Mus musculus: one gene and its partners. The protein of the gene in region 1 purifies or fractionates together with the protein of each later gene. This does not show direct contact. Links are inferred from orthologs where the notes say so. Each region holds a gene or a part of one and is shown in the gene's direction. Other genes may lie near its edges. The genes, in order: Fgf11, Ube2o, Ahcyl1 and Sirt1.

The links.
Region 2: the proteins of Fgf11 (region 1) and Ube2o purify together in Homo sapiens (affinity purification with mass spectrometry; 3 studies listed by BioGRID and IntAct, with this or other methods). This does not show direct contact. The link is inferred for Mus musculus from reciprocal best matches to the Homo sapiens genes FGF11 and UBE2O.
Region 3: the proteins of Fgf11 (region 1) and Ahcyl1 purify together in Homo sapiens (affinity purification with mass spectrometry; 3 studies listed by BioGRID and IntAct, with this or other methods). This does not show direct contact. The link is inferred for Mus musculus from reciprocal best matches to the Homo sapiens genes FGF11 and AHCYL1.
Region 4: the proteins of Fgf11 (region 1) and Sirt1 purify together in Homo sapiens (affinity purification with mass spectrometry; 3 studies listed by BioGRID and IntAct, with this or other methods). This does not show direct contact. The link is inferred for Mus musculus from reciprocal best matches to the Homo sapiens genes FGF11 and SIRT1.

Annotation. Positions count from the first base shown.
Region 1 is NC_000077.6:69,799,139-69,804,181, reverse strand, and holds the start of Fgf11 (fibroblast growth factor 11), read left to right. Parts: upstream 1-1,901; 5' UTR 1,902-2,556; coding exon 2,557-2,749; intron 2,750-4,405; coding exon 4,406-4,516; coding exon of another isoform or gene 4,517-4,540; intron 4,541-4,726; coding exon 4,727-4,830; intron 4,831-5,043. Other genes in the region: Tmem102 (transmembrane protein 102), read left to right, coding at 1-567.
Region 2 is NC_000077.6:116,546,446-116,550,850, reverse strand, and holds part of Ube2o ((E3-independent) E2 ubiquitin-conjugating enzyme UBE2O), read left to right. Parts: intron 1-1,757; coding exon 1,758-1,817; intron 1,818-1,970; coding exon 1,971-2,081; intron 2,082-3,882; coding exon 3,883-3,980; intron 3,981-4,326; coding exon 4,327-4,390; intron 4,391-4,405. UniProt on the Homo sapiens protein: E2/E3 hybrid ubiquitin-protein ligase that displays both E2 and E3 ligase activities and mediates monoubiquitination of target proteins. Negatively regulates TRAF6-mediated NF-kappa-B activation independently of its E2 activity.
Region 3 is NC_000069.6:107,668,470-107,672,874, reverse strand, and holds part of Ahcyl1 (S-adenosylhomocysteine hydrolase-like protein 1), read left to right. Parts: intron 1-738; coding exon 739-833; intron 834-1,630; coding exon 1,631-1,737; intron 1,738-2,554; coding exon 2,555-2,671; intron 2,672-2,919; coding exon 2,920-2,983; intron 2,984-3,693; coding exon 3,694-3,782; intron 3,783-4,137; coding exon 4,138-4,208; intron 4,209-4,405. UniProt on the Homo sapiens protein: Multifaceted cellular regulator which coordinates several essential cellular functions including regulation of epithelial HCO3(-) and fluid secretion, mRNA processing and DNA replication.
Region 4 is NC_000076.6:63,328,777-63,333,181, reverse strand, and holds part of Sirt1 (NAD-dependent protein deacetylase sirtuin-1), read left to right. Parts: intron 1-1,284; coding exon 1,285-1,437; intron 1,438-4,405. UniProt on the Homo sapiens protein: NAD-dependent protein deacetylase that links transcriptional regulation directly to intracellular energetics and participates in the coordination of several separated cellular functions such as cell cycle, response to DNA damage, metabolism, apoptosis and autophagy.

The DNA of each region.
Region 1 (5,043 bases):
GTGGTGACCGTGACAGGCTGGCCTGACACGGCTCGGAGCCACTCGTGGGCGGGTCCACTGGTCTCTGAATCGGCCTCTTTCTACCTAGTGCCGGGCAGCCTCCCAGAGCAGCCGAGCACCTCTGGATGGCAGCTGTGCTTCGCTCGCCAGGAGCTGGCGCTCAAAGAGCGCATCCCCACGCCGCTGCTTCAGGCACACGCGGCGGCCCAGGCGCTGCTGCGCCCGCTGGTGGCGGGGACCCGAGCCGCTGCGCCCTACCTCCTGCGGACCTTGCTCTACTGGGCGTGCGAGCGGCTCCCGGCGCTCTACTTGGCGCGGCCGGAAAATGCCGGCGCTTGTTGCCTTGGGCTACTGGATGAGCTGAGCCGAGTGCTAGAGGCCGGGGCGCTGCCTCATTATTTTTTGAGCGGCCGAAAGCTCCGTGTGGGAGACGGCTCCGCTGCTCTGCGCGGGGCATTGGCCCAGCTCCGCGGGGACCCTGCACAGGCCTTGCGTGAGGCTGTAGAGGAAGCCAAGGTTGCCCGCAAAGGGGGCGGTTTAGCGGGCGTAGGGGGCGGGACCCATTAAAGATTTTACTCCTAAGGGAATGGAAAGTGTTTCCTTTGGTGAGAGGGTCATGCAGGGGACTGCTGCTCCCTCCATACAGACAGTGTATGCTTGGGTCCAAAGTCCCTTTTCTAAAAGGTTTCCCCAGTATTCTACCCTGCCTGAGGCCCAAGTTCTCTAAATCTGGCTGGCGCCCCTTCTGTCCCGGTACTGCCTCCCGGAACCTCTCTCCCCTATTCTTTCAGAGTCTGACAGGGATAGTAGGAATGTATTTACTGACAAAATGCGGGAAGGAACTGGTTTTTGGAAACCTAGTTCTGATCAATTGGCTCATACCAAACCAGAGATATTAAGGCCGGATCACAGCCCAGACTGGATGGCACAGCTACCGGTTTCTCCACTTTCCCCCCAACTCTCCTCGTCCATTTCTGTCCTCACTTCCATCCCAGGCAGTAGAATCCCTTTTCATTTTCTCTCTGTCGGCTATTCCATCGACCCCCTGCCCCCAGCCCCGCCATATCAGGCTCCGTGTCTCCTCTCCTCTGAACCCCGAGATTTGCAGGCCTTGCCTCTACTCCGCCTGCCTCTGTGACAGTTCCCACTTAGAGCTTCCAAGGAACCCCAGGGTTCCGCCCGCCCAGCTTCTCCCAGCGTCTCCGCCCCCTGCCCCGCCCCCAGGCCGGCTCGCAGAGGAGGGGGAGCCTCTGTCGCCGCCGCCGCCTCAGCTTCCCACAGCCGCTGCCGCTGCCTCCGCCGCTCTGCCTGGTCCAACCTCCAGGCCCAGTGCTCTGACTTTGCCGAACCGAGGCGCTCTGCAGAGACATCCTTACTCCTTCCTGGGGGTCCGGGACGCTTAGGCCGACGTTGGGGGGAAACCTCCGCTTGCGGGTGACAGGGAGGGAGGAGCCTGGAGCTGGAGCTCGCGGCACCCGTCGCCCGGATCAACAGGACAGGACAGGTTGAGGGGCGTCGGGGAAAGGAAGGGGTGTTATAGCAGTCCCAGGGAGGACGAGAAAGCCCTGGCGCAGGAAGCTCTGATGCGCTGTGACTTATTAAGGGCCTGTTCACGTTTGAGGAGTGTTGACAACGTGGGTGCACTCCTCTCTTGGGGGCCTTGTTAGATTGGAGGGTGTGGGATCTAAGCAGTGCCAGTTGTTCCTCGGGAAATTTAAGGGGCAACTAGAAAACAGACAGAAACGGCGGATGCTCCTTTTTTCGGGGCGACAGAGGGTCCTGCAGACAACCACCTGGTGTCTGCACTAAGAAGGGTTGATTTGGAGGTGACTTCAAAAGGAGTGGAGGGTAGCAAGGTGAGGGAATGGTGTTAGCAGCTGGGACTCTGTGGTACTAGAAATGGGGGTGACAATGAGAAAAAGCATTATCCAGCCAGGGGGCCTGGGAACCCCTTTTCACTGAACCTAAACAGCCTGAATTTTGAGTCATATTTGCTGGCAGAGGGGGGATTTGAAGAAAGTGGGAGACCCACTCCATTTAGAGTATAGAAAAGGAAAAAAGAAAACAGAGCTGGGCTCCTCTTGACATTGACAGCAGCCTAGGGTGAGCTAATGTCCACAAAGCTTAGGACCCACACCCTGTGTAAGAGTAGGCTGGGCAGGAGCGGCCCCAAAATAGGGTAGAAAGAAGCCTCGGGGTATTGAGAACACATCTTAGAAATATAGGAGGGTCTTGACTGTGGGATAGAGGAGGTATCTTCTATCTGGTACAGAGGCCAGAGAGGAGGGAAGGGGAAAGCTTTCATTAGGGGACAGAATTCATGGGTGAGGTCAGCTGAGGAGTGCATAGGCTGCTGGAGCCGCTGGAGCTAGTCAGGGCCCAAGGGTGGGAGCCGGTGGTGTTGGGGAACGTACTGGGGTCTGGGGTTTCTCTTCAGATCCTGTGGGTGGGGCGGTGGGTTGGGTCCTGAGCATGCCCTGGTGAGAGGGCTCCTCTTGGGGAGCCCAGGGCGCTCCGGGAGCCTGCTGGTTTGGGGGTGTCTCCTCCCGGGGCGCGATGGCGGCGTTGGCCAGTAGCCTGATCCGACAGAAGCGGGAGGTCCGCGAGCCCGGGGGCAGCCGGCCCGTGTCGGCGCAGCGGCGCGTGTGTCCCCGCGGTACCAAGTCACTTTGCCAGAAACAGCTCCTCATCCTGCTGTCCAAGGTGCGACTGTGCGGGGGGCGTCCCACGCGACAGGACCGCGGCCCAGGTGAGTGTGGCTAGGGCGGGGTCTCCCACAGAAGTCCTGCCTGAGGCCAGGGACCCTGACGATTGAAGCCCGATGAGGAGGGGGGTGTCCCAGAAGTGGAAGAGGTGGGCCAGAACGACAGAATTTACGGGACTATCCTTCAGGTTCTTCCTCTTTGCCTGTAATGCCGAGTCTCCTTGCTTTCGAGGGCAGGGGGAAGGTTTGAGGGGCGAAGTCTGGCGCCCCAAGCTTCTCTGCTCCTGTCAGCCCCCCTTCAGCACAGGACTCCCCACCCCCCACGGTTCTTCGCCTACGTGCGGGTTCTCGCGATTCTTTCCATCCGAAGTGGCGGGGCTTGAGGGGTTCTGGACGCTTGGGTCACCCCGAGGGTTTCTGCAGCCCTGGCTGCCCCGCCCCCGCTCCGGCTCTCCCGCCCCTCCACGCTTTGGCTCTGTTCTTCCTGGTCGAGCTCGCCTGGCCAGGAGCCAATCTCTCCAGCTCTCCCCCGGGTGTCCTTGCAGGCTACCTCGTCAGTCAGCCCCCTCCGTACGCCCTCCTTCTGTGACCTGCGCTTCGAGAAGGGTGCTGGGCACCCCCTCCCATTACTCCTGTGTGACTCGGAAATCCAGTCCCACAGGCTCCGGGGACCCTCAGCCAGTAGGAACTCACACATAGTTCAAGCTGAAGACCTGCACAGGGACTTAAGCGGGGGGTCGTACCACTTACAAGGGGGAACAGGGAAATCGGCAGAGAGCAAGCCCCACCAGGAGAGGAGAGATGTAAGGGCTGGTATGTGATTCCCGTCCAGGTACGACAGTTAGGGAGTCCCTCTGGCCTCGCTCCAGGCCGCTGCCGGTTCCCTTAGGGGTAGCCCCTTGTGCCCTCCTCCCCCACCACCAACGGTAGGTAGTGGTACAGTCCGCAGCCCACCCTCTGAGTGGGACCCAGCCCCCACGTGATGCAGCCTGCCTCTCCATCTCTGTCCCCTCTTCCTTTTCCTTGATGTGGTTTAAATGTCCCCCATCCCAGGCCAGTTACCTGGCTGAAGGGTAGAAGCTCAGTCTCAGGGAAAACTGGACCCTCGTGAGCCAGCCGACTGACTGACAGACAGACAGACAGATGGGTCAGTGTCAGACAGGCCGGCGCTGTGCCAGAGCAAGGCCCGCGCCAAGCGAGCGGCAGCTGCAGCAGCAGGTGCTGAGTCAGCGTCAGTCAAGCCCAGTCCCACCCCTACTTCTGAGGGGGAGCCCCTTCCCTGTGGTCACCTTGCTGCTCACCCCGACATTTGCAAACACATTGCCCTGCGTTTCTGGCACTGTCCGTTTCTCTCTCTCTCTCTCTCTCTCTCTCTCTCTCTCTCTCTCTCTCTCTCTCTCTCTCTCTTCTACCTCCTCCCCGCCCCCAACTCTGGTAGGGAAAAGGAATTAAACCATTTAAATAAATTTCAATAAATTAAGCTGACGCTCATGATTAGAGAAAGCGGAAGGGACCCACACCCCAGCTTCCTCAGGAATCAAAGCGAGGTGGAGGGAAGCTTGCTTGAAGGGTAAAGGAGCTGGGGCCCTGGAACCCTCTTCTCTTCATTTCCCCTTTCTTCTTTCCTGTGATCCCGCCAAGTGTAGGAATGTTTCTGGGAACAGAGATGTCATTTTCAAAGATAAATGTCTCTCTCTCCAGAGCCTCAGCTCAAAGGCATCGTCACCAAACTGTTCTGCCGCCAGGGTTTCTACCTCCAGGCGAATCCCGATGGGAGTATCCAGGGCACCCCAGAGGACACCAGCTCCTTCAGTGAGAAGGGACACCAGCTGCAGGGTGGGCAGTGGGGAGATGGGGACAGGAGATGACAAGCCTATCACCTCTTCAGGCTTGGCTGCCTTCCATTTGTCTTCTTGGGCCCCAAGGGAGGCAGTGAGGCTGGAGTTGGGGGGCGGGGCTCAGATGGAAATGAGGTACTTGGGTATTGACTGCTTGCTTTCCACTCCCCCACCCCCACCCCAGCCCACTTCAATCTGATTCCTGTGGGACTCCGTGTGGTCACCATCCAGAGTGCCAAGCTGGGTCACTACATGGCCATGAACGCTGAGGGGCTATTGTACAGCTCGGTAAGAGGACAATGAGGCTGAGTGGCCTGGACGACTGGGGACACCCTCAGCACATAATCATCCTTTGCTACACACATGGCTTACACCCAGGACTCTGTCCTTCCTGTTTTGGCTTGTCTAGGGCCTAGTCCAGAACTCCCCCTCTAGAGTTCACTCTCCCTCAAGGGGCCCAGGCTCTTTGGATGCCTGACTCTTCCAGCTATTACAGTGGCA
Region 2 (4,405 bases), about 47 Mb from region 1:
CATTACATGACCAGTGTTTATTTCACGTAGCCCATGACTTCCCCCCAGGCTATTTTGGAATAGCTTCTTTCCTGCTATTCCAAAACTTAGGTTCACCGATGCTTTCCAGGAAATGCTAGTTTACAACTGGCTGGTAAACTCGGAGTTGCTGAACTTTTTTTTTTCTTTTTAATTTTTAATGATAAGAAACAAAAATATACCTAAAAGCATAGCTTGTGGAAAAACCATTTGTTCTCTCCTGTCTTGTATTGTTCTTCCAACTGACCTTGGCCTCCCCAGCCTTGCGTTTCAGAGCTGAGTCTCTAAAGACATCCTTCTTGACAACCGTTCCCTCTGAGAGGCTATCCAGAGCACCTGTAGGCATGAGGTGGTTACAGTTATAAACGTTCATAAAGAACTTGATCTTGGAGTTTTTGGCAATCTTCTTTTTACCTCCATTTCACACGTCCTGTATGAGCTTGTTCTGATCAGGCTGTCCATGTGGATCCTCCCCCCTCCCCTGGCAGTACCTGGACCTGACAGAGGCCATCGGGTTGTGTGCAGACGCAGCTCAAGGCTCTCGTCAAGGCCGCGCTACTCTCTGCTTTCTGCGATGACTTAGGCCCCCTAATTGGTGGTGGTTTGACGTCTAAGCTAAGAAGGCAGTTGAGGTGAAGCTGAGGGTGGGGCAGGCACAAAGTGTCTTCACATTACTAGAAAAGGGAGCTGGCCTCTCCACCTTCCCTTCAGTGCCTTGAAGCTAGCCTTTCTGGACCTCAGCCTGTGTCCCTGTGGACAGGGAGTCAAGCAAGTATGGATGTAGTGGCTGTATGTGCCTGTGTGCGTGCACGCAGGCGCCAATGCTTTCTTTGTGGCTTCAATCCTGTCATGGGTCCCAGAGTTGGCTGCTGAGATACCATGTGTACTTGGAAGCAGCAGGCTGACACCAGTCACAGTGTTGTCTGTGGAACAGGTCCTGGGTCCCTGTGGCAGTTTATGTTTCCTGCTTAGCGGTGTACAGCCTACCTAGAGCTTGTGTGGGTTGTCCTTAGCAAAGCTTCAGTGACCTTGTACTTGCTTTTCAGCACTTCTGTCCTGCTCCTCTCTCTGCCAGTCACCTTTCGCAGCAGAGAGGCCGGCTGAGGTTACTGAGAGTCGGGGAGAGTCGGGGAGAGCCCTTCCTGGTGTGTGCCTGTCCGTCTCTGAGCAGGGGAGAGAGATGTAGCAACCACTTACAGGTTGTCCAAGAATGACAGAACAATCCCGATTTGGAGATACAAGAACAGAGAAGACAAAACAGCCTAGCAGAGAAGCAGCTCTTTCTGGGCCACAGAGGCCGCCCAGCAGCAGGAGGTGGCAGTTCTGGGGGTTCAGTTGGGTCAGGACAGGGTCTGCACTGCCACAGATAAGGAGCAGGATGCAGCTGGGCAGGCAGAATAGCCAGATTAGAAGGGTTGTGTCTAGTGACAGCTGGCTTCAGTGCCATGCCAGTCCTCCAACCACTCCTGAGCACCCATGAGCCAAGGTCAGAGGGTAGACCCTCAGAGAAGGATTTGACTCATCATAATGTTGGTTTTTGTAGGATGAGCTAACCTTGTGTGGTGTGACTATGCTTCCCAGTGCACAAGACTATCTCCAGTGTGTATGCTGGTGGGTGTGGGGGTGGGGGGCTACAGATAAAACCATCCTTTGTCTGCCTTTGGTGGGATGTACCTGGGTGGAATGCGTTCCACCTCAGATGTCTGTTTCCAGGCCTCTCATTCATGTTTTTTTCACAGCTGAAACTGGAGGACCGCTCTGTGGTGCCCCGGGATGTGGTTCGACACATGCGCTCAACTGTGAGTCCCTCATCCCCATCCCGCCCTGCACTTGAGCCTGTGTGCTCCCACTCTAATTTGGAAGAGATCTTGGTTGGAGGAGTGGAGAATATAGGGTGTGTCTTGGTGGGGTCTCCTATGGCAACCTGTGGGATGTTTTCCTTCCTCCTCTAGGACAGCCAGTGTGGCACGGTGATAGATGTCAACATTGACTGTGCCGTCAAGCTCATCGGCACCAACTGCATCATCTACCCTGTCAACAGCAAGGACCTCCAGCACATCTGGGTGAGTGGCTGTGTGGCCTCTGTGCTGCTGCTGCTGCTCCTGGCAAGTGTAGTCTTAATGGGGCCGATGCTCGGTGCTTGGTCACTGTGGCCAGCCTGCTCCAGGCAGGCTCCGTGTTGCCCTTGCCTGTGCGCTACTAGACAGGAGGTCAGAGTGTGCTCTGCCGCGGGCATCAGGATAGATCATGACAAATGTGGTCACATTACTTGTTTCTCATTGACCACAGACACGGATGTTTGTTTGTTTGTTTGTTTGTTGTATGTGGGTATTTTGCAGGAATATAGTCTGTGTGTACTACTTGCATGTCTGATACCAGAAGTGGGAGTTGGATACCTTGGAACTGGAATAATGGAGTTGTGAGCCTCTGTGAGGGTGCTGGGAATGGACCCAGGTCCTCAGCAAGAGCAGGCAGTACTCTTTAACTGCTGAGCCGTCTCTCTATCTCCATCCAAGAAGGCTGGAGAGATGGTCCCACGGGCAAGACTACTTACTACTCTTGTTAAAGACACAGATCCCGAGGACCCAGCTCTGTCCTTGACTTCTGAGAACACCAGGCACACACATGGCTCACAAACACACATGCAGCAAAGTACTCATACACATAAAAGTAACAGCAAAACAGAGTTCTTTTTAATCATTTCTTTTGTAAAGGACTTTAAACTTACCCAGAAGTGCTAAGTCTGTGTGCCCACTCTCCAGTGTGTGCAGCTGCTGACCTCCCATTGACCCCGGTCATCTTCATCTCCTGAACTATCTGAAAGCAAGCTACACATACAGCCCCCAGCACCCCTGCTCACTACTACATTTTGTGCTTTCCAAAATTTGGATATAGCCCGTAGACGGGGGAGTAAGTGGTGACCATACTGCCTGAGCCTCAGACTGCTCGCTGTCCTTTCCCTCTGGCCCTGAGCCCATCCGCCTGGCGTTTGCCTGTCAGTTCTTTTTCTTTCCCATCTGGGATGTTGTTGTACACCCCGGACAATGGTGCTGCAAAAGCTCATGCATGATGATGTCTCGTGGACAGACTCACTCCCAGGATGCCTCTGGCTGTGCAGCTAGCTTTTTTTATGTCCAGTGCTACTCTGCCGCTGGAGATGCTCACTCTGCGCACAGGTCATGTTGGTCTTCACAGCCCTCACCACTGTAAACTCATCCTTTACCCCCAGTAAGCTATTATATCTCACACATCACAAATGTCCGTGTCAGACCTGCAAGCCTTAGTCTTGGGAGCATTGCCATGTAAACAGGCCACGGCTCTGACAGTCGCAGGTGGTGTCTTCCTCAAGTCACTGCCCCCGCATTTCTATTGGTTGGCATTCTTGTGTGTGCCTACAGAGCTGTGCCTACTGCCCTGTTTCTTTGCTCATTCGTTTTCTATGAGGTGCACTCGAGAGTTGTGTTTCATTCATCAGCTCAGCCCTCTCATCACTCAGTACTCACATCCCATTCTGCTTCAGTTGTCGTGAGGAAGCTCCTCAGGGATGGCTTCTGTCTGCCCAACAGTTTTCAACAGTGACAACACTGCGCTCAGTGTTCCCAGTGGGTCCCCCTTGATTCATGGTCTTTACCTATCCACAAAGCCCACCCCCACCCATGCCAGCCTCCTAGTGCTGTCCTCTGCCGCTGTGGACACTCCCACCCACGAGGCAGCCATAGGCTGCTCCTGCCTGCTCGGTGGAAAGGGACTTGGGATGCAGTGCAGATACGTTGTCTAGAGCCTTTTACATCCCAATGGGGTGTAGAAGATCCCAGGCTCCGTGGTGTCTGCCCTCGCTCACTGCTCTGTGTCCTTGATCTGCAGCCCTTCATGTATGGAGACTATATCGCCTATGACTGCTGGCTGGGGAAGGTCTATGACTTGAAGAACCAGATCATCCTCAAGTTGTCTAATGGTGCCAGGTAGGTGTCATCTTAGGGACAGCTGCCTGCTCTACAGTCCAGGAGAGTTGTTCCAGGTCTGTGAGGTCGGGTGTGGTCCAGGACAGTAACGGTGATGCTGGCATTCAGCATCCGGAGCTCAGTGGTAACTCTTGTCTCTGCTGCTACAGCTCAGGAGTCTCTGAGGGCCAGTGCTCTGTTGTGCATGTCTTAATAATGGCAGGCACTTAGGTTGAGCTGGGGCTCCTGTCCTGTGGCAGAGGCTGAGCTGTAGGTGCAAGATGGTGTGTTTTAGGGCGTGTTTTAGTCTTGGTGTTTAGTGCTGACTGAGTCCTGGTGGAGACCAAGCCTCTGTCTACTGTTTCAGGTGCTCCATGAACACAGAAGATGGTGCCAAACTCTACGATGTCTGCCCTCACGTCAGCGACTCGGTACATATCTCTGCC
Region 3 (4,405 bases), on another chromosome or scaffold:
TCTGAGTTCAAGGCCAGCCTGGTCTACAAAGTGAGTTCCAGGACAGCCAGGGCTATACAGAGAAACCCTGTCTCCAAAAAAAAAAAAAGTTCAAAAGCACATCACCTTACACCTTCTAAGATCTTGAGAAAGTTACAGAATAGACTTTGTTTAATTCATTTCTAATAGCTGTTTATTGTAGAAGATTTAAGAAATTTAAAAAAAAAACAAAGATTTGACAAGCTTCTCTTTATATATTGGTAAACCAAATTTTAGTATATACACATTTTTTTATAACCGAAACATTCCATTTTGAGAAGTAATTTATCGTGTCACTGAAAAGTGACCACATCATTCATTCATATGGCCACATGATTTTACTTCTTCATTTTCCTAAAATCGCATGTTTAAATTATTCTGAGACATCTGTTGGTATCTAGAGTGTCTAGTATTGGTGTTCCTAAGAGTGCTCTAGGAACTTTGTTTTTACATACTTCATTTTGCCTCCTTAAGATGCAGTATAAAGTATAAAATTGACCTAAAAGACAGCAATATTTTATGACTCCAAGATATTTTTTAATATAGAAATCTCTTAATTTCTTAACTGAAGTAATTTCTGAACTAAAAAGTACTATTTTGACTTTTATTCTTTAAGTTTTCCCTCTTCGGAATTGTTTCTTTTCCCTTTCATTCTTCATATGGATCTCAGAAGTTGGTACATCAGAAGCAACATTAATTGATGTATTTCTGTCTCCGTAGGAGTCGCGGTGTTTGCTTGGAAGGGCGAGTCAGAAGATGATTTCTGGTGGTGCATTGACCGCTGTGTCAACATGGATGGGTGGCAGGCTAACATGGTAATCATTCATGTCTACTCCATAGTTTTACTATGGATTTATTTCCTTTTCTCCCTTAAATCATGGTTCCCTAAATATATTTCTTTGTGTTTGGTCTTATTACTGGCTATATTGCTAAAGTGTTCATAACACAATACCTACTCGGTATGGATCTAAGATGCACAAGGCCCTGGATTCAATATCCAGCACCAATAAGAAAGAAAGGAAGGATGGAAAGAAAAGAAAAGAAATGAAAGCAAGGTCTGAGAAGTGAATAGGAAGGTGGGGGAAGGGTAAGCTGAGATGGACACATGACTCAAACACAGCAGAATAAACAGAAGGAAATGATGTGGTCCCTCTTTGGAGTAGGAGTCTTATTTCTTTTCTTCCCACTCCACTTCTCCTTTTGCATTCAAAGGAGCCATATATTTCAACTAGACTGAAAATGAGCCCACGACTTGTAATACTTATTTACTGTAGCTGGGCATGACCAAATGCCTATAAGCCCAGCATTTGAGAGGCTGAAACAGGAGGAGTCCTTGAGCTCAGGAATTTTAGACTAGCCTGAGCAACATAGTAAGTTCCAGTCTCAAAAAAGAGCTTTCCACTGTAGCCTAGAACTCATTTAGGATTTCTTTTAACCATTTTACACCAACAGATTTAACTATATTTTTACTGTCTAAGCCTATTCTGCAGAGCGTTAAGAAGTGCTCTTTCAAAATATCCAGGGCTCTCTCACTAGTGTAGAAAATGGGCTCAAAGTTCCCCCTAGCTCTAGCAGCCTGAATGCCCATAGAAGTCTTCTGGCTGTTCTGTAGATCCTGGATGATGGGGGAGACTTAACCCACTGGGTTTATAAGAAGTATCCAAACGTGTTTAAGAAGATCCGAGGCATTGTGGAAGAGAGCGTGACTGGTGTTCACAGGTAACAGATTCTGGAGTAGCTGCCCCTTGTGTCCTTGCCTCATCAAATTCTTCTGGTCTCTCCTAGACTTTAGGGCTGTGTTTCAGACTTAAAATAACCAAGTGGGAGTGTCTTCATTAGATAAAACCGAGTTTTTACTTTTGCAAAATCAAAGTGACCATAAAAGGAATTTTGAAGGAATTTTTTTAAAATTCTAATTGACATGTTTTTAATCTCTCCCATTTGCTCCACTGAGTAACTAATTAACAGTATTTGGGGGTAAGGGTGTAGAGAGGAATGTGTCTTGGAAAACTTGTGCTCAATGTTGTATTATAATTTTTATATTTTAAATATGGAGGGAAAAGTCTATTGAAAAACTACAGGTGATGCAACAGAAAGTAAAACTGGAGATAGACTCCTGGCTTGGAGGAAGTAACTAAATGGTATCTAGGACTATTGCTCTGCGGGCACAGTGTGCGTGGTTGCTCTCACAGACACAGTAAACCACATCAGAACCGTTGCTGTCTTTGTTTACCTGAAGTAAACATGAGTATTTAAAGTCAGAACAGTGCTGCCCTAAGGTTACAATGCTCCCTTTGCAGAAGAGCAGTAAATTGCTTCAACTGAAAAGTTTTTTATTTTTCGTTTAAAATTAAAGGATAAAATAGAAGGAAATGAGTTGAGGACAAGAGACTAGTCACGTTTCCAAAGAACTTCTGGGCATAAATAAGACTAAGGAGGGCAGCATGGAGCTTGAAGAGACAGAAGCAGACTTGCTATTTATTGTTTATAACCTAACTAGTTGTGTGTTTGTTTTGTGGCTTCTTCTCCCTTTTAGGCTGTATCAGCTCTCCAAAGCTGGGAAGCTCTGTGTTCCAGCCATGAATGTCAATGATTCTGTTACCAAACAGAAGTTTGATAACCTGTACTGCTGCCGAGAATCCATTTTGGATGGGTATGTTGAAATGTATACCTTCAGATTTGCAGGGACTAGTAGTGGGATTTGTTTGACGTATCAGTTTGGTACCTATAGCTTGCCCTTGTAGTCTCCCTCCTTTACATGTTATTAAAGGAGCCCACTTCACAGTGATCTCAGCCAGCTTTCCATTGAATTTCTCCTGGGCACTGCCCTACACTTGAATTTGGTACAAAGGGACTGAGTTGTAAATGATGTTTGAGATGAGCCCTTGTCTGTTTCCACAGCCTGAAGAGGACCACGGATGTGATGTTTGGTGGGAAACAGGTGGTGGTGTGTGGCTATGGTGAGGTAAATAGTTGGGCCCATATCTCTGTCTTATTAGAAGGCTTTAGAGAAACATGGGATGGAGACAGTCTAGGAACACTGATGAATGTTTTTCCATGCTGTGCTTGAAAACAGTGGGAAAGTCCTTTTCATATTTGTGAGTTAAAGGCAGAGTGTACTGAATTTTCATATTTTAGCAGTTTATCTTATTGATTGATGTCAGCATTACTGCCTCCCACTTAAAGCCTTTTATGAAATAAAAGTTAAGTGAATAAGTAACATTTTATCCCCATCTTATGGCTTGCATCGTAGAAACTGAAGTGACATTATAGTCGAGTATCTTTAAACTGGACTAGGTCCTAGGGAGTGTCATTGTCTTCAGCAGTGGTCCACTGAAGTCCTTGGGCTGCTAGGTATTCAGTAGACACATTGGAAGTGAGTTTTGCCAGGTTTTTATGGAATAAATCATTTGTTCTTGTTTGAACTTGTTTTCATAATGGTAACAATTACGCAGAGCCTCCCTCTCCCCACCTCTTGTTGTGACTTGTCTGCTAAATTATCTCTAATTGAAGTTTACAGCCTAGTTTGGGTTTCTTTCTGCTCCAGCTGGGACTGGAGTGTTCACTGGATGATGCTGATTTAAAGAGGCTAATTCCTATCTCCTCAAAAGCTTGTCTCCCCCAATGATCGTATCTTCTTAGATCTGGCAACTTGGGCTTTCCTATATTCTGCAGGTAGGAAAGGGCTGCTGTGCTGCTCTCAAGGCCCTTGGAGCAATTGTCTACATAACAGAAATTGACCCCATCTGTGCTCTGCAGGCCTGGTAAGGACAGAGTGCTGGTACCACTCTTAGGTTTGAGGTCCACGCCTTGTATTTCTGAGAGCCGGTGGCTGATGACTCACTTTACTGTTTGTGGAGAAGTCTCCCGGGGAAGAGTAAGGTGCTTTGTTCCCTTCACTCGAAGCCATTTATGGGGCCTCTTGGCATTTTCTCTTGCTGTGTAGACTCGTGGGGCCCGGCAGAAGCCAGTCTGTAGTTCACTATAGCTCATCATTTACTATTTCTGGGATGGAGCATTAGCTTTTACTTCAGAAGGGGATTTTGTTGTCTAGCTTTGTCAACGTGAGCCACACAGCACACTTTGCTTTGCTTATAGTGTTGCTTTCTTTTCTTCCAGCATGGATGGGTTCAGGGTGGTGAAGCTGAATGAAGTCATCCGGCAGGTGGACGTTGTAATTACTTGCACAGGTGAGTATCAGTGCTTTGCTGCATGGAGAACAGTGCTAACTCTCAGGTTGAATCTCAGAAGGTAAGACCTGTGCTCAGTGTTAGCCTTAGAGTGCGTTCTCAGAACTTTTAGCATTTTCCAAAAGAGCTTTTTACCATGGTGATTTTTCATATTAGTCAATCTTAAGGCCAAATAATTGAGCTCAAGCATTTCTGTA
Region 4 (4,405 bases), on another chromosome or scaffold:
ATTTATAATTAAATGCATATCCTTAGCTGGCTATGGTGATGCATTTTCTGTTATCCCAGCATTTGCCTTTCAGGGCCTTAGTGACTGTAACCTCAGCATTAGGATGTAGACACAGGCAGATCCCTGGAGCCCAATGGCTACCCAGCCTAACTAAAGACACTATCTCAATGAGAATCGAGGTGGCCCATGCCACTAGTTCTAGAGGCAGGTAGGTGTGTGTGTGTGTTTGTGTTTGTGTTTGTGTGTTTGTAGTGAGACCATGTCAAACAAAAGACAAAAATTAAGCTATTAATAAGTAAGTAAATGATTCATTCTTGGGCTAGAGAGATGACTTAGAATTTAAGAGGTCTTACTATAAGGCCAGGGGCCCAGATTCAGTTCCCAGTACCCATATGGCAATTCACAACTGCATGATTGATGCATTCTGACCTCCGTGGACACCAGGCACCTGTGTAGAACACATATACATGTAGGCTTCCCTATGTTCATATAAAATAATAAAGCCTAATGGCTTCTGAAAAAAAAAAAAACCAAACAAACCCAACAAACTTTGCTGTGATATGTGTAAGGTAGTTCTAACTCCTGGACAACATAACAAAGATCCCAAACCCTTTTTTGAGAATGATTTTGCTGCTGTGATTGTCCCCAGGTAGTCTTGGAAATCAGAGCCCAAACAGCCCTTCAGTCTCCCTGAGTATCTGAGACTTTAAGCATGAACCAGTGTGCTCAGTCTATAATACAGTATTGAATAAAGTTTCAAAACTTGAGTATTCTTGAGGTAGTAAAGCTGCCTATGTGAGGTCAGTTTGGAATGATTGGTAAAAAGTTGTACCTACTTTTTGGTTAAAAAATGAAATTGAGCTGGGTGTGGTGGCGCACACCTTTAATCCCAGCACTCGGGAGGCAGGGGCAGGCGGATTTCTGAGTTCGAGGCCAGCCTGGTCTACAAAGTGAGAAAGTGAGTTCTAGGACAGGCAGGGCTATAAAGAGAAACCCTGTCTCGAAAAACCAAAAAAAAAAAAAAAAAAAAGATTTATTCCAACCAATTGTATTTGTTTTAATTTGTTTAAATGCTCAAAGGGTTAAGATTAGCCCATTAAAGCAGTATGTGGCAGATTTAATTATACTTATTTACGTATTTTACCTGTATTTGAAATTAGAAAGCTTGTGGTGTTTCTGTTCAAACTTTGATTTTTCATCTCTTCCCACTAAATTGTATGTAGTAAAGGTACTTACTGTGAAGGTAGACAGTTAATGGGTTGACTTAGGTCTTGTCTGTTTCAGGTTTCTGTCTCCTGTGGGATTCCTGACTTCAGATCAAGAGACGGTATCTATGCTCGCCTTGCGGTGGACTTCCCAGACCTCCCAGACCCTCAAGCCATGTTTGATATTGAGTATTTTAGAAAAGACCCAAGACCATTCTTCAAGTTTGCAAAGGTATCACACGTTTTTGTCTTTATGATAAAGAGTTCTCACGTGTAGGCTTTTTAAGTTTACATTCATTGCCCAGTGATTTGGAGGCTACCAGTGTGGTAGTTAGAACTTAAGTTGTTTAGGACTGATTTTAAATAATGTAATTTTGGTCTTTTGCCTGTGTGTCTTGCCCTCTCCTTTGGAAGTTTGTAGATCTGAAAAAAAAAAGAAAGACTTGTTTTCACTTACTCTTTTTTTTCTGAATCATAAAGGTTCTATGACTACTATGTGGTATGTTTTATAATGGACAGGTCTTAATATATGCATATGTCTAAAATGATTTTTAATAACTCAAGGTTGAGATTACATGTTTTGGGAAACATTACAAGGGACGTCTTTCTAGTTGATAAGTCAGTCACCACCATGTGACTGCATGTGGCTATTGAATGTGTGTAATGACACAGTGAGGGCATGCTTACTTAAGGATTTTAAATACTTTGCTAAAGAAAAGTGAAATATACTAATTGTACTTATTAAATACTAACAAGCAAACATTTTTATGTTTGGGACTATGTTCAGGAGCCAGGCATAATAATACAAGTCCTGCAGCTCCGGGATTTCAGGGGCACAGGATACTTCATGACCTGCCAGGGAGGGCTACATCATGAGACTCAGCTTCAAAAACAAAGCAGTAGCAATTTTTTATTAGGCATTTGAAAATTTCACTTTCATGTGAACTAAAGAAATTGAACACTTGGCTCCTATGTCTGCTGTGCAGCTCTGCTCTGCTGTAGAATATAAAGTTTATATAAATTGTCTCAAGATTTTAGTCACTAGAAACTTTGCAAGGTTTTATTTGTTTTGTTTCTTTGTTTTTTTGTTTTTTTTTTCCAGTTTAATCTTAAGGTTTTTTGTTTTGAGGCAGTCTGATGTAGGCCAGGCCGGTCTTGAATTTTGCTTAGCCATGGCTTTTGAATTTCCTGAGCCTCCTGCGTCTAACTCCCATCTGTTGGGATTAGAGCAGGAGCTGCTATGCCTGGCTGTTATGTTCACTGTTAGGGAACTTGGAAATACATATGCAAGGCTTTTCTGATTTAGAGAGATGTTTTAGAGACGTCTTTAAAAGTTTCATCTGTGGAGGGGTGGAGTGGTGAATGGTGTTGCACTCCCAAGTGCACCGGTGGATGTGACAGCACTACCTTAGTTTAGGGGGTTGGGTTCCCCCACATCACACGAGAGTTCCTGGATTAGAACTCAGGTCAGCAGATTAGGCAACAGACTTATCTCCCAATCCACCTCCCATCTTGTAAGCCCTAAGGTGGATTAGAAAGGCTGTCTTCCTTCAGTACAGTCTCAGAACTGTAAGGGTGCTTTAGTTCTTGTCTCCGTATCCTGGTGCTGGGATTAGAGGATGGCCAGACTTTGCAGCTAAGGTGTACTATTGGAAGCTGTGCTGCTACACTGTTTAAAGAATACCAGTCAAAGATTGTTTTAATGGATGCAGGACCCTGGTGTATCATGGTGTCTACTATAAGTAGACACAGATTTAGGAAGGCCAGCAAGTAAAAGTTACTTTCATCTTATACAAGCATAGCTGGTTAGTGATTATATGTTAGTATTCCCACAACTTTTCTTATAAATTCTATGTTGTGAGTTGGGGAAACTGCATTGTCATAACTAGTCTTTTTTTTTTTCCCCCCCAGTATTTTACCGGGATTGTCAAGTGCAGATACATATCTAAAATTGAAAGTTCCACATGTTCTTAAAATTACATTTAGTTATTTATTGCTTATGTAGGTGTATGGGCAAGCATCATTTTGTTCCTCTTTAGGGGATTATAAGGACTAGAATTCCAGTAAACTTAGCTCTCCAATAATGCGTAACAAGCTAACCCTTTTATGTCCCTAATCCAGGGTTTAGGAGGTGGAGGCAGAAGGGTCTCAAGAGTTAAGGGCAGTCTCTGCTAAACACTTGAGTTCCAGGCTCTCCTGGGTTACAGAGTGAAATAGCACACAGTGGTAGACCATTTTTAGCACAAGGCCCCAGATTTTGCTACCCACAAAGAATACACATGCTAAAGTATGTTTTTCCTAAATTTTAATTGTGTTTTAGGGCAGATTAAAGGCATAAAAAATTAGTTTGATTAAAAAAAGATAGATGGGATAATTAAAGTGACCTTAGTTTGTGGATGATATTCTATATGTAGACCCTAAAAGCCTCACCAGAGAACTCCCCCTTTTTATGTACCACCTAACAAACATGGGCAGGGAGGAAATCTGGAAAAAGTCTTCATAGTCATCTCAGACAACAGAGGCTGGAGAGGCGAGCCAGTGGTTATGTGTGCATGCTGCTGCTTGCACCTTTCAGAGGTCAGTTTCCAGCATCTGTATCCAGAGGCTCTACAGCTGCAGTTATCCCCAGGCCCAGTTGAGTCACGTGCTGCTGGCCTTCAGGCCTCCACTTCATGGCACCTGCACTCACCCACATCCTCTACCCCAGACATGCAGATAATTAAAAGTGTTAAAATGGGGGCCGTTGAGAGCAGCACTTGTTCTTGCACAGAGGATCAGAGTTTGGTTCCTACCACTCACATGGTGGCTCATAACCATCCATTACTCCACTTCTCTCCAACTCCCCTTTCTGTCATCCTTGGGCACCAAGCAAGCATGTGGTACATATATATTACCTTCAGGCAAAGCACTCATTTATATAAAATTACTTCTTAATATAAAAAACCAAGGGTTAGGTATGGTAGTGCAGGTCTTTAATCTCAGTCCTTTGGAGTTAGAGGCAGGTGGACCATCTAGGGCTACATAATAAGACCCTACCTTTAATTCAGTTTTATCCATATGAACTATGTATAACATGAAGTATGTGTAATGCTCTGCATTATCATATGTGTGTGAGTTTTGCATGTTCATGTTCAAGTTCAGTAAGAATTAGTTCATAGCTTCCCTAGTTGAAATTCTTTTATTTGGTTAGTCGGTTTGGC